Linked DNA regions of Anolis sagrei. The protein of the gene in region 1 interacts with the protein of each later gene in a biochemical or structural test. Links are inferred from orthologs where the notes say so. Each region holds a gene or a part of one and is shown in the gene's direction. Other genes may lie near its edges.

What was found.
Region 2: the proteins of GABARAPL1 (region 1) and TBC1D2B form a complex in vitro, tested with the Homo sapiens proteins (2 studies listed by BioGRID and IntAct). The link is inferred for Anolis sagrei from reciprocal best matches to the Homo sapiens genes GABARAPL1 and TBC1D2B.

Annotation. Positions count from the first base shown.
Region 1 is NC_090022.1:168,111,870-168,119,160, reverse strand, and holds the start of GABARAPL1 (gamma-aminobutyric acid receptor-associated protein-like 1), read left to right. Parts: upstream 1-4,274; 5' UTR 4,275-4,433; coding exon 4,434-4,523; intron 4,524-7,291. UniProt on the Homo sapiens protein: Ubiquitin-like modifier that increases cell-surface expression of kappa-type opioid receptor through facilitating anterograde intracellular trafficking of the receptor. Involved in formation of autophagosomal vacuoles.
Region 2 is NC_090029.1:12,556,861-12,564,789, forward strand, and holds the start of TBC1D2B (TBC1 domain family member 2B), read left to right. Parts: upstream 1-4,928; 5' UTR 4,929-5,078; coding exon 5,079-5,432; intron 5,433-7,929. UniProt on the Homo sapiens protein: GTPase-activating protein that plays a role in the early steps of endocytosis.

The DNA of each region.
Region 1 (7,291 bases):
AAAAAGAGGAAGAAAAGGGAGATAGGGAAGCAGAAGGGAAGGGGGAAGGAGAAAAAGAGGGAGGGGGAAGAGAAGGAGGAAGACGAGGAAAGGGAAGAGGAGGAGGAAGGAAATAAGAGAAGGAAGAGGGAGAGAGGGGAGGAGGGAGAGGAGAAAAAAAGGTGGAGGGGGAAGAGGAGGAGGAAGGCAAAAAGAGAAGGAAGAGAGAGAGAGAGAGGAGGAGGAAGGGGAGGAGAAAAAAGGTGGAGGGGGGAGAAGAAGAAGAGGAAGAGGGGGAGGAAAGAGAAAAAGAGGAAGAAAAGGGAGGGAGGGAAGCAGAAGGGAAGGGGAAGGAGAAAAAGGGGGAGGGCGGAAGAGGAAGGCGGTGAAAGGGAAGAGGAGGAAGGAAATAAGAGAAGGAAGAGGAGGAGAGAGGAGGAGGAGGGAGAGGAGAAAAAAGGTGGAGGGGGGAGGAGGAGGAAGAAGAGGAAGAGGGGAGGAAGGAGAAAAAGAGGAAGAAAAGGGAGGGAAGCAGAAGGGAAGGGGGAAGGAGAAAAAGAGGAAGGGGAAGAGGAAGAAGGGGAAAGGGAAGAGGAGGAGGAAGGAAAAAAAGAGAAGGAAGAGGGAGAGAGAGGAGGAGGAGGGAGAGGAGAAAAAAAGGTGGAGGGGGAGGAGGAGGAAGAAGAAGAGGAAGAGGGAGGAAAGAGAAAAAGAGGAAGAAAAGGGAGGGAGGGAAGCAGAAGGGAAGGGGAAGGAGAAAAAGAGGGAGGGGGAAGAGGAGGAGGAAGGGAAAAAAGAGAAGAGGGAGGGAGAGGAGGAAGAAGAAGAAGGAGAAAGAAAAGGTGGAGGAGGGGGAGGAGGAGGAAGAAGAAGAGGAAGAGGGGAGAGAAGAGGAGGAGAAGGTTGTCAAGGCGACTACGCAGGGCAATTAACAAGGATGGAAACGTCTCTTGAAATGCAAACAGTGGTTAAGCATGACCTTGGCAAATACACTCGAGCGGCTTATATTTATTTTTTAAAAAACAACTTCAAAACAAGCAAATCCACAGAAATCCTCGAGAGCCCTGTCATCCTATGTCGAGGTCGTTGTTTGGTGGTGGTGGTGTTCCGAGGCTCAGCCTTGGGGCAGAGACGATCCCCCGACCTGGGCAGGCGCAGGCTCAGCAGGGACAGCTCATTGGCCAAGATGCGTCCGGGCTGCACCAAGGAGCCTCGCCTAAGCCTCCCTGCGTCACGCGGCGGCGGCTGTCTCGACGTCTGTCTCCTCGCGCTCCTCCCTTTTGCGGCGCTGCCTAGACCCGCCTTTACGCAGGAGGAGGGAGGGGGGCAGGGGGGCGTGACAGCCGCATGTAGGTCGCCTCAGAAGACAAGCCATCGATCGAGAGGGTTGCTGCTGCTGGGTCATCCTTACAAAACATCCGATGAAGGGAGCCTCATGCGGGCCTCCATGGGCTGGCAGTGGGGTCGTGGGGAGCCCCTTCTAAACAACCTCCCCTCCTTGGCTTTCAATTACAAAGGCAACCAAGGCGTTTCGGCCCCGTTGTTGTGATGAATACCCCACTTTTTCTCTCCGTAAGGAGACTCCAAGAGACTTACATTCAGGCCCGTAGCCAGGATTTTGTTTGGGACGGGGGGGAGGCTGAGTCTGAATGAGAGAGGATCTACCCCAGCAAACCTTTTGTATCGTTATCCCAATACCCCCATGCCAGAGGCGGCCCTAGGTAATTTTCAACGGTAAGCAAACAGTATCTGGCGCCCCCCCCCCCCAACCAATCATTGATATATATTTTCTGTTTGTGGTGGGAGTTCTGTGTGCCATATTTGGTTCAATTCCATCATTGGTGGAGTTCAGAATGCTCTTTGATTGTAGGTGAACTATACATCTCAGTAACTACACTTGCCGCACTTGCTCCCTTGCCTGGCCCGCTTTGGGTCCAGAGGCATGCCTGAAGACCCCGGTGTGTGCACCAAAAGTCACCTCTTCTCCTGACTTTCTCCTCAGCCATTGGGACCCAGAGAGGGAGAGGTGGAGATGCCCACCTTTCCTGAAGGTAGGTGCAAAAACAAAGGAGGGAGCGGAGGTGGGAGATACCTCCAGCCGGAGGGGCTCTCTCTCTCTCTCTCTTGGTCCCAATGGCTGAAGAGAAAGTCAGGAGAAGAGACTTTTGGTGCGCACGCTGGGGTCTTCAGACACTCCTCCAGACCCGAAGTAGGCCAGGCATGGCGGCTCCGCTCCTTGGCCGACCTGCGGATTGGGGAGAGGAGAGGAGGCGGGTGGAGCGCCGGGGATCAGGAAAGGGAGCCGGTCATGGGGAAGGGATCGAATGCGGAGAACAATTGAGCACTGGCTCTGCTTGTGCACCCGGTGGCCAGGTGGAGCAGGAAGAAGAGGGGCTAGGCGAGGCTCAAGGGCCCGGCCCCTTTGGGAAGAGGATCGCCCGGCAGCGAGGCAAGAAAGCCGAGGCTCCCCCCGGACTGCTAGGGCTATTGTGAGCTGAGGGGGCGCTCCTCAAGTGGCAGTCAAGGGGCATTTACAGAAGCGCCTCTGTGCCCCTGGCAAAAAAAAGTGTTCTGCGACCACTTACTTCGCGTAATGGACGAGCCGCCCCTGCCCCATGCATATGGGATATGAATAAACATAACAGTTTAAATAAGAAATGTTATTTATTTACTTTCATTAACAATATGTATAGAATAGAATCGTAGAATCCAAGAGTTGGAAGAGACCTCATGGGCCATCCAGTCCAACCCCCTGCCAAGAAGCAGGAATATTGCATTCAAAGCACCCCTGACAGATGACCATCCAGCCTCTGTTTAAAAGCTTCCAAAGAAGGAGCCTCCACCACACTCCGGGGCAGAGAGTTCCACTGCTGAATGGCTCTCACAGTCAGGAAGTTCTCCTCCGTCACAAGCACGGTTGGTGGGGACGAGAGAGAGGGCCTTCTCGGTGGTGGCCCCTTGCATCTAGAACATCCTTCAAATGCATTCAAATGAAGTCCAAGAAGTCCAAGTCCAAGAATAGGTAGAGAAGGAAGAAGAGAGAGAAAGGAAGGGAAAGAAAGGTGGGGGTGGGGGGAGGGAGGGAGGGAAGAGAAGGAAGGAATGAGAGAAAGAAGAGAAAGAGGGAGGGAAGCTTAGCCACAGCCACGCGTGGCGGGTACAGCTAGTAAATAAATAAACAAATAAATAAATGGACTGTCTGCTTTCAACCGGATTAAAGGGCAGTGCAGAAGGGGCCCAAATCATCTGATGCGGCCCTCCCGATGCTGGACTACAACTCCATGCCTTGGTCACCTCTAGATTGGACTACTGCAATGCACTCTACGTGGGGCTGCCCTTGAAAACGGCTCGGAAATTCCAACTGGTCCAACGGGCAGCAGCCAGGATGTTAACTGGGGCTCCTTACAGAGAGAGGTCAACCCTCCTGTTCAAGGAGCTCCACTGGCTGCTGTTTATTTTCCGAGCCCAATTTGAGGTGCAGGTGCTTACCTACAAAGCCCTGAACGGTTTGGGACCATCCTACCTGCGTGACCGCATCTCTTTCTATGAACCCACACATTCACTTTGTTCATCCAGAGAGGCCCTGCTCGTGATTCCGCCTGCATCGCAGGCGTGCTTGGTGGAGACTCGAGACAGGGCCTTTTCCGTGGTGGCCCCCCGACTCTGGAACGCCCTCCAAAAGATCTTAGACAGGCCCCTACATTGGCAGTCTTTAGAAAGAACTTGAAGACCTGGCTGTTCCGATGTGCCTTCCCAGATTAGGAATCTCCAATACCAAGTCCCAGAAGCACTTTAGTAGAACTAAGATTGCTGCACACCGCACACTGCACTTACTTTATAATCCTACATACCTCCTGCCACATCAGCACTTTTAATCTTGTACCCATTACTCTGGACCGGCCCAGTTTTATAGTGTCTTGATGTATTGTTTATTGCTTGTTGTTAATATTGTTTAACTGTTTTTAATTTGCTTTAGGTGTTGTATTGTGTTGTGTTTTGAGGCCTTGGCCTATGTAAGCCGCATCGAGTCCTTCGGGAGATGCTAGCGGGGTACAAATAAAGTTTAATAATAATAATAATAACTCGTTTGTTTCCTTCACTATGAGACATCATGACTTACAAAAGAGATGCATCATTTTTTGGAAGCTTTCCTGATTCTAGTGTGGCCTTCACCCAAGAAACGTATCCCCCTTTGATTCAAGCAGGAGCCTGCCTCTCCTTTGATTCCACCCCCTACACCCCCCCCCCGCGCAGAAATGGTGCAGTCCCAAAATGCGGGCGGCAGAGGCCGATGCGGGCTTTTAGCTCGGTGACGTCACAATGCCCGGCTTGAACCCTGGGTGTTTGTTGTGAATCTTGTGATCAGCTGAGCGAGGGAGGGAGGGAGACAGAGAGAGAGAGAGAGAGAAGCAAGGAGGCCGCCGTCGCGAAGGGGTTCTGAGTTCGCCTGAGACATGAAGTTCCAATACAAGGAAGACCATCCTTTCGAGTACAGGAAAAAAGAAGGGGAGAAGATCCGAAAGAAATATCCAGACCGGGTGCCTGTGAGTGGAAGGGGGGGGGGGGGGGAGGGGAACAGGCGGATGGGTGGGCGGGTCTATATTTTCAGGGTGTCTGTTGTCCTTCAAAGAGCTCCACTGAGACCGGACGTCGTTGTTGTTGTTGTTGTTGTTGTCCTCTAATCCCCCTCGCGCCCCCCCCCTCCGTTGGCCGGGGTGCTGCTTGGGAGCCGAAAGGGGCGGAGCTCCGTTTCCCCCTCTCCCCTTTCCTAAACATGGAAGCGGGGAGGACAAAGGCTGGGGGACGAAGTAACCTTTAGTAACCCGAAGCAGGCGCCCCAGGAGGGCTAATCCTTGGCACTGTGGCAAGTGTTGCTATATTTCTGTATTTCCCACACATACCTACTGCTTTTGGTCAGCAAACAAGTAGCTTACGGCTAGACCGCATCCTGGGGATGTTTGCTTCCGGTTTTTTGGTAGCATTATAGCCCTTCTTTCTAGCACAGCATTTCTCAACCTGGGGGTCGGGACCCCTGGGGGGGGGGTCGCCAGGGGGCGTCAGAGAGGTCACCAAAGACCATCAGAAAACACAGTATTTTCTGTTAGTATGGGGGTTCTGTGTGCCAGGTTTGGCCCAATTCTATCGTTGGTGGAGTTCAGAATACTCTTTGATTGTAGGTGAACTATAAATCCCAGTAACTACAACTCTCAAAGCTCAAAGTCTATTTTCCCCAAACTCCACCAGTGTTCACATTTGGACATATTGAGTACTTGTGCGAAGTTTGGTCCAACCACCATGTCAGACTACACAGAGAAGCCATTGAAATCCACAAGCATGTGGACAATTTCAACAGAAAGGAAGAGACCATGAAAATGAACAAAATCTGGCTACCAGTATTAAAAAACTCTAAAATTATAACAGCTAAACAACAGAGAGGAAAAGCCAGGCACAGATTAACACCTCCCAGCAACAGATTTTCCCAGACTCAGGCAGGCCTTCAAATGCTAATGAAGGTGATCAGCTAAACATTCACACCTAATTGCAGCAGGGAAGAGCTCCTTGCCCCACCCCAGCCATTCCACAGATATATAAACCCATTTTTCCTACTTCCAACAGACCTTCTCAACCTCTGAGGATGCTTGCCATAGATGCAGGCGAAACGTCAGGAGAAATGCCTCTAGAACATGGCTCTATAGCCCGAAAAAACCCACAAGAACCTAGCAAATCCACCATTGTTTGAGTCCACAGTGATTTCTGGATGTAGGTGAACTACAAGTCCAAAACTCAAGGTCAATGCTCACCAAACCCTTCCAGCATTTTCTCTCGGTCATGGGAGTTCTGTGTGCCAAGTTTGGTTCAATTCTATCATTGGTGGAGTTCAGAATGCTCTCTGATTGTAGATGAACTATAAATCCCAGCAACTACAACTCTCAAATGACATAATCAATTCCTCCCCCCCCCCCCCCCTCCCCAATCTCACCAGTATTCAAATTTGGGCATATCATGTATTTGTGCCCAGTTTGGTCCAGTGAATGCAAATACATCCTACATATCAGATATTTACATTACAATTCATAATAGTACCAAAATGACAGTTATGAATTAACAATTAAAATAATGTTATGGTTGGGGGTCACCACAACATGAGGAACTGGATGAAGGGGTCACGGCATTCGGAAGGTTGAGAACCAGTGTTCTAGCAGGTTTGAAATCAGGATAATAGAAGAGGCCTCATGGGCCATCCAGTCCAACCCCCTGCCAAGAAGCAGGAAAAACGCATTCAAAGCCCCACCAATAGATGGCCATCCAGCATCTGTTTAAAAGCCTCCAAAGAAGGAGCCCTCCAACACTCTCCGTTCCACTGCTAAACGGCTCTCACAGTCAGGAAATTCATAGAATCAAAGAGTTGGAAGAGACCTCATGGGCCATCCAGTCCAATCCCCTGCCAAGAAGCAGGAAAAACTCATTCAAAGCCCCACCAACAGATGGCCATCCAGCCTCTGTTTAAAAGCCTCCAAAGAAGGAGTTTCCACCACACTCCAGAGCAGAGAGTTCCACTGCCGAGCAGCTCTCACAGTCAGGAAATTCTTCCTAATGTTCAGATGGAATCTCCTTTCCTGTCGTTTGAAGCCATTGTTCCACATCCTAGTATCCAAGGCAGCAGAAAACAAGCCTGTTCCCTCCTTCCAATGACTTCCCCTCACATATTTCTATATGCCCTCATCATGTTTCTTCTCAGCCCACTCTTTAAGCCACTCCTCATTGGGCTTGTTCTCCAAACCCTTCATTTTAGTCACCCTTCTCTGGACACATTCCAGCTTGTCAACATCTCCCTTCCGTTGTGGTGCCCAGAATTGGACACAGTATTCCAGGTGTGGTTCTCACCAAGGCAGAATAGAATAGAAGGGGGAGCATGACTTCCCTGGACCTAGACCAGGGGTCCTCAAACTAAGGCCCGATGGCCAAATATGGCCCTCCAGGGTCATTTACCTGGCCCTTACTCAGGGTCAACCAAAGTCTGAAACAACTTAAAAGCACACAGTAACAACAAGAACAACAATCCTATTTCATCAGCCAAAAGTAGGCCCATATTTCCCATTGAAATGCTAAGAAGTTTATAGTTGTTAAAATTGTTCATCTTAATTATTGTGTTGTTGTTAGGTGTTTTTTGCACTACAAATAAGATGTGTGCATAGGAATTCATTCATGTTTTTTTTTTCAAATTATAATCCAGCCCTCCAACGGTTTGAGGCACTGTCACCTGGCTCTCTGTTTAAAAAGTTTGAGGACCCCTGATATAGACCCTAGACTC
Region 2 (7,929 bases), on another chromosome or scaffold:
TTGAAGACCAACATCCAGGAGGAAATTACCAACATAACGCCTGTGATGCTGGCAAGAGTCATGACAAACGCCAGAAATTGGTTTACTTAGTGTGTGGAAAATGGAGAATGGGGGACGTCAGCTATCTAATTTGATCTTCAAAACTACGTAAAACAAAACTTTAGGTATGTGGCTACATTATATTAAAAATGGGTTTTATTAAGTTTTGAAAAAAGGAAGTTATACTGCCTCACCCTGTATTTGAAAATAATACTAATTGTGATGATGGTGGTGGTGATGGAGTCGCCTTCTTTGGAGCTTTAAAGTAAGGGCCGAGTGGCCATCTGTCGGTAGGGATCGGGTTGTGCATTCCTTTTGCTTTTGGACATTCTGCCCCATCTGTACCCCACCCCAAGTCCCTTCAAGGAGATGGCGGGGAGGAAGAATTAAGTTGCTGCCCTGTTTGTGATGATGGTGATGATCAGGGCGACTCAACCCATTACACAAAGTAAGCGTTTGCAGTATAGTTGATTTTGCCCAGGGACGCTCTTGAGGCGCTCTTGGGGGAAAATAGACCTTGACATATGCGAGTTGTAGTTACTGGGATGTATAGTTCACCTACAATCAAAGAGCATTCTGAACTCCACCAATGATGGAATTGAACCAAATATGGCACACAGAACTCCCACGATGAACAGAAAATATATATCAGTGATTGATTGGGGAGGGGGGGTCAAAATACTGTTTGCTTACCATTGAAAATTACCTACGGCTGCCTCTGATGATAATTTATGGTTGGAGGAGCGGGGCTCTGTCTTCGGAGGCCCCTCCTCATTCTATTATTATGATTTTGAAGAAGGAGCCGGGTGGCCAACTGCCGGGAGGGGTCAGGTTGTGTTCCAAGTTTTAATCCAGCGAATCTACAGCCATAAAGACTTTTTGAATGTGGACTCTTTATCTCGGAAATCAAAACCGGGCAAAGGGGGGAGGAGGGGGGAATAAACAATGTGCATCGTTTTCCTGTAAATATCTGATTTTGAAAGAAATCCTTGAAACCAGAATTAAAAATATTTGGCGTTTTCACGCGGTGTTAATGCACTTGTCTCATTCACATCATGAGGGAATACGCTGTTTGCAGTCAAAGGTCACTTCAACTGCCAAGGTTACCCTGGGAGTTATAGTTTGTTGGGACCGAGGCCGGCCGCTAAGGCAGAGAAGGCAAGAGGTCCTGAAAGAAACCACAACTCCCATCATTCCCTCGCATGGAGGCTGGGCATGGACAGGCAATGTCGGGTCCTTCGCATGGAGTTTGGACTTCAACTCCCAGGTGCCTTGGCTGCTTTGGCCAAAGACTTTTTTTTTTTGTTGTGTCAGGAGACTTGAGAAACTACAAGCCGGATCGTAAGCCGGATCGGGGTATAGGGTGGCAACCTGTGCTAGACGGGGTTGCACTCCCCCTGAAGTCACAGGTCCGCAGTCTGGGTGTCTTCCTGGACTCATCACTTATGTTTGAAGCTCAGGTGTCGGCGGTGGCCAGGAGGGCCTTCGCACAATTAAGACTCATGCGCCAGATGCCACCATACCTCGTGAAGTCGGATCTGGTCAGGGTGGTCCATGCCTTAGTCACCTCCAGATTGGATTACTGTAATGCACTCTACGTGGGGCTGCCCTTGAAGACGGCCTGGAAATTTAAATTGGTACAATGGGTGGCAGCCAGGTTACTAACTGGTGCTTCTAACAGAGAGCGATCAACCCCTCTGTTTAAGGAGCTCCATTGGCTGCCGTTCATTTTCCGGTCCCAGTTCAAGGTGCAGGTTCTTACCTACAAAGCCCTGAACGGTTTGGGACCCGCCTTTCTGTGTACGAACCCACACGATCTCTTCGATCATCTGGAGAGGCCCTGCTCGCGCTCCCACCTCCTTCGCAGATGGGAAGAGGGCCTTCTTGGTGGTGGCCCCTCGACTCTGGAACTTTCTCCCCAAGGACATCAGGCATGCCCCAACTCTGGCAGTCTTTAGGAGGAGCCTGAAAACGTGGTTGTTCCAGTGTGCCTTCCCAGAATAAGGAAATCTCTTAGCAATATGACCTCAAAATGTACTTTACCACTAATTTAGGACTGACTGTGTTCCCTCATCTCTCTGAAAATGCTATACCAGCTATATCCTACCTTGTTCATGCCCAGCATTATTTTTTAAATTTTAACTATTATATTTTAAATATTAACTATTATATTTAAGTGCTTGTGTATTACTGTTTATTGTTTAAATGTAAAAATGGCAAAGCAGCTGGCCTGGATGATCTACGGATGGAACAAATCAAGAACTTTGGCCCAAAAGCAAGGTGCTGTCTGCAGGAACTGATGAACAACTGCACTGCATCCTGTCAGATCCCCAAAATCTGGAGGAAAGCAAGAGTCATCGCCATCTTGAAGCCAGGCAAAGATCGTAATGATCCAAAAAGCTATAGACCAATCTCCCTGTTGTGCCACCTCTACAAAGTTCTGGAGAGACTTATTCTGCATAGAATTATGGAAAAAATAGACCCCTGTCTGATTCCACAGCAAGCTGGCTTCAGCAAAGGCAAAAGCTGCACATCGCAAGTGCTGAACCTGACTCAGCACATAGAAGATGGCTTTGAAAGGCAGCAGATCACAGGAGCTGTCTTCACAGACCTGTCAGTGGCTTATGATACTGTAAACCACCGCCTCCTCCTGAGAAAAATGTATAATATCACAAAGGACTACCCAACTCACCCGCCTCATAGGAAACCTGCTACAAAACAGGAATTTTTTTGTGAGTTCCAGGGTCAGAGAATCAGATGGCGGAAACAGAAGAACGGCCTGCCTCAGGGGAGTGTGCTTGCTTCATCCATGTTCAACATCTACACAAATGACCAGCCACTGCCAGAAGGGACAGAGAGCTTCATCTATACTGACGATCGTGCCATTACTGCTCAAGCAGGGAGCTTTGAGATGGTAGAACAGAAGCTCTCCGAAGCTCTAGGTGCTCTTACTGCCTATTACAGGGAAAACCAGCTGATCCCTAACCCATCCAAAACACAGACATGTGCCTTTCACCTTAAGAACATACAAGCATCCCGGGTTCTGAGGATCACCTGGGAAGGAATCCCACTGGAGCATTGCAGCACACCCAAATACCTGGGAGGAGTCACCCTGGACCGTGCTCTGACCTACAAGAAAGCACTGCCTGAACATCAAGCAAAAAGTGGGTGCTAGAAACAATATCATACGAAGCTGACTGGCACAACCTGGGCATCACAACCAGACACAGTGAAGACATCTGCCCTTGCGCTATGCTACTCTGCTGCTGAGTACGCATGCCCAGTGTGGAACACATCTCACCACACTAAAACAGTGGATGTGGCTCTTAATGAGACATGCCGCATTATCACAGGGTGTCTGCGCCCCACACCACTGGAGAAATTACACTGTTTAGCTGGTATTGCACCACCTGACATCCGCCGGGAAGTAGCAGCCAATAATGAAAGGACCAAGGCAGAGACATCTCCAGCTCATCCCTTGTTTGGATATCAGCTAGCACGTCAATGACTTCTTTATTTACATTATTTCTATCCTGCCCATTTCAGTCTGAAGGCGACTCAGGGCGGTATACACAGTCGGCACAATTCGATGTCGAAACAAAATACATACATTAATATAGCAAAAACATCAATGCAATTAAACATAAACGAAAGTGCATAATAAACAATTTAAAAAGAAAGTATGTCTTCTCATTCAAATCTTCATCCGTTACATTGTCTTGGCCGTTCCTGGGTCAATTTCCATCTCTAGTTTGTCCGTTTACTCTGGGGTTCCAAATTCTTGCTCGAAGAGCCATGTTTTTACTCTTTTTCGGAAAGTCAGGAGGGAGGAGGCTGATCTCATATCCCTAGGGAGGGAGTTCCACAGCCGGGGGGCCACCACAGAGAAGGCCCTGTCTCTCGAAGCAGGCAGGATCGAGAACAGGGCCTCTCCAGACCACCTTAAGTTCCTGCGGGGTTTGTAAACATGCCCAGCTCCTTAAGCCGCTCCTCACAGGGCTTGTTTTCCAGATCCTTGATCATTTGAGTCGCCCTCCTCTGGACACATTCCAGCTTGTCAATTGTTGTTGTTGTGTACAATATATTATATTATGACCACAACGCAATATTGTTGTTGTTCGTTCGTTCAGTCATCTCCGACTCTTCGTGACCTCATGGACCAGTCCACGCCAGAGCTCCCTGTCGGCCGTCACCACCCCCAGCTCCTTCAAGGTCAGTCCAGTCACTTCAAGGATGCCGTCCATCCATCTTGCCCTTGGTCGGCCCCTCTTCCTTTTGCCTTCCACTTTCCCCAGCATAATTGTCTTCTCTAGGCTTTCCTGTCTCCTCATGATGTGGCCAAAGTACTTCAGCTTTGTCTCTAGTCTCCTTCCCTCCAGTGAGCAGCCGGGCTTTATTTCCTGGAGGATGGACTGGTTGGATCTTCTCGCAGTCCAAGGCACTCTCAGCACTTTCCTCCAACACCACAGCTCAAAAGCATCGATCTTCCTTCGCTCAGCCTTCCCTCAGGTCCAGCTCTCACATCCGTAGGTGACTACAGGGAAGACCATGGCTTTGACTAGGCAATGGATCTTCATTGCCAGTCTGATGTCTCTACTCTTGACTATTTTATCGAGACTGGACATTGCTCTCCTCCCAAGAAGGAAGCGTCTTCTGATTTCCTGGCCACAGTCTGCATCTGCAGTCATCTTTGCACCTAGAAATATCAATATCTTGTCAATATCTCTCTTGAAATGTGGTGCCCAGAATTGGACACAATATTCTAACCAAAGCAGAATAGAGAATGGGTAGCCTTTGCTGAGAAGGGAGAGGCAGGAGTGGGCGGGGCCTTGGCCTGGAGCTTTGGACTTCACTTCCCAGAAGCCTCGGCAAAGCCAGCGAACGGCGGGGGATGCTGGGAAATGAAGTTTGAAGGGAAGCAGGCGTGGCATTTTCCTCCTTTTACCTCAGAGTAATACTGGACTTGCCCTCCCAGAAGCCTCAGCCTCAGCGGGAATGCTGGGAATCGTAGTCCCGGGGCGCTGAGGCGATTATCCGGGATGCCTTCGGCGGCGGAGCGGGAGGAGGGCGGGCGGCGCCTCTGCGGCTACCTGGGCCACCTGGAGGGCCGGGGCCGGCGGCGGGGCTTCCGGAGCCGGTGGTGGGCCTTCGAGCCGCGCCGCTGCGCCCTCCTGGCCTTCCGCAGTCCCCGCGAGGAGGCCCAGGCCCGCCCGCCCCTCGTCAGCCTCGACGTGGCTCGCGCCGCCTTCGCCATCGCCGCCCCGCCAGAACAGGACGGGGAGCGCGGGGAGGAGGAGACGGAGGGCGAGGGCGAGCAGGAGGAGCGAGAGGAGCAGGCCGGGCCCACCGCCTTCGAGCTGCACGAGCCCGGCGGGGGAGTCGCCGTCCTCAAGGTAGGCCAGGGAGAGGCCTGTGGGCAAGGCTGGAGGAGGGAGGGGGCCTCTTCCCCTCCTAGGCCGTACCTTCCCCTGGAAGTAATGACCAGAAAGCACTAGAACAGGCATGGGCAAACTTCAGCCCTCCAGGTGTTTTGGACTACAACTCCCACAATTCCTAACAGCCTACCAATGATGGATCTGGACCAAACAATACACGGATACTCAATATGCCCAAATGTGAACACTGGTGGACTTTGGGGAAAATAGAATCTTGACATTTGGGAGTTGTAGTTGCTGAGATTTGTAGTTCACCTAAAGTTTTTATTATTATTATTATTATTATTATTATTATTCTGTATCTTTGCATTTCATTTTTTTCTGCCTAAGTGTCATATCTTACATTTGTCCTTGTTGAAATCCATTTTGTTATTTTTGGCCAATCAGTGCTCTCATCAGTTAAGGTCATTTTGAATCCTGGTCCTGGCCTCTCCCTCCCAATTTGGTCCCATCTGCACACTTGATCAGCAGGTCCTCTAAACCAGGGTTCCTCAAACTAAGGCCCAGGGGCCAAATACGGCCCTTCAAGGTCATTTACCCGGCCCTTGCTCAGGGTCAACCTAAGTCTGAAACAACTTGAAAACACACAACAACAATGATATCTCATCAGCCAAAAGCAGGCCCACACTTCCCATTGAATTACTAATAAGCTTATATTGGTTAAAACTATTCTTCATTTTAATTATTGTATTGTTTTTAAGTGTTATTTGCACAACAACTAATATATGTGCAGTGTGCATAGGAATTCATTCATGTATTTTTCAAATTATAATCCGGCTCTCCAACAGTTTGAGGGACTGTGACCTGGCCCTCTGTTTAAACAGTTTAAGGATCTCTGCTCTAAACCTTCATCCAAGTCATTAATAAAGATGTTGAACAGTATTGGGTCCCAGGAACTGAACTCTGCAGTACTCCACTAGACAACCTTTTGCTCTGATCCAGTTGCTGCTTGGCTTTTCAGTCAAGCAGCAGAGAACGTATGCAAGTTTTGCAAGGTGCAATTGCACAACTGCTGAGAAGGAAGTCTGCCTCTTCCTTCCTGCCTTGTGGGGCCCACTTCCAGAGAAGACACCTGGTGTTAGATTGCGTCCACTGTTAGAAGCCTGCTTAGCCAGAGTCACTGACCAAAAGGCCCCGATCGTTGGACTTGTCCTTGGAGGCCAACCAGTGTCTGTCATGGATGAGGGACCAGCATCCATGACAGAGGAGGCCTGTTGGCAGGTGTTTCGATCAGACTCTGTGCTTAAAACAGTCTGTTAGGAATTGTGGGAATTGAACAGTCAATGGGCCATTAGGAATTATTTATTATTATTATTTATTTATTATTTGCACTTGTTAACCGCCACTCTCAGCCCGAGGGCGACTCGTGGCGGTGTACAGAACATAGAAAAGACAACAATTTACAATAGATCAAGACATAACACAACATCTAAAAATCCGCTTCGTCTAGTTTGGGGTCATAATCAATCTCATAGTCATAGTCCATTCCGGTGGTCATTCCAACAAAGACATAGCACTTAGTTGAAGGCCTTTTCGAAGAGCCAGGTTTTCAGGCCCTTGCGGAAGGCCATGAGGGAAGGCGCCTGTCTGATTTCAGCAGGGAGGGAGTTCCATAGCCGGGGGGCCACCACCGAGAAGGCCCGCTCTCTCGTCCCCGCCAGGCGTGCCTGTGAGGCAGGTGGGACCGAGAGAAGGGCCTCCCCAGATGATCTCAAGGTCCTCGTGGGCTCGTAGGCCGAGATGCGGTTCGCAAGGTATTTTGGGCCGGAACCGTTTAGGGCTTTGTAGGATAACACCAGCACCTTACATTGGGCCCGGTAGCAAATCGGCAGCCAGTGGAGCTGGGACAGCAAGGGCGTTGTGTGCTCCCTGCGTCCCGCTCCGGTTAACAACATGGCTGCCGCGCGCTGGACTAGCTGGAGCTTCCGGGCCATCTTCAAGGGCAGCCCCACGTAGAGAGCGTTGCAGTAGTCGAGGCGGGATGTGACCAAAGCGTGTACCACCGTGGCCAAGTCAGACTTCCCAAGATACGGGAATTGACGTCAAAAACACCTGGAGGAGGGTCAAAGTTAACCCATGCCTTCCTTATGGTTTCTGACCTGTATCCAGTTCTATAAGGAAACAAAATCCTATAATGGCTAGACAGGGGCATCCTACAGGAATAAAACAATCCCACCTTTGTTCCAGCTTGCTCTAACTCACATGCTTTAATTTTCCTAAAGCTTATTCATAGCTTTAAGCCTGCATCATGGGATGTTCTCTCATTTATTATTCTGTAGTACAGTGGTTCTCAACCTTCCTAATGCCACGATCCCTTAATACGCTTCCTCATGTTATGGTGACCCCCAATCATAAAATTAGTTCATTGCTACTTCATAACTGTCATTTTGCTGCTGTTATGAATAGTAATGTAAATATCTGATATGCAGGATGTATTTTCATACACTGGACCAAA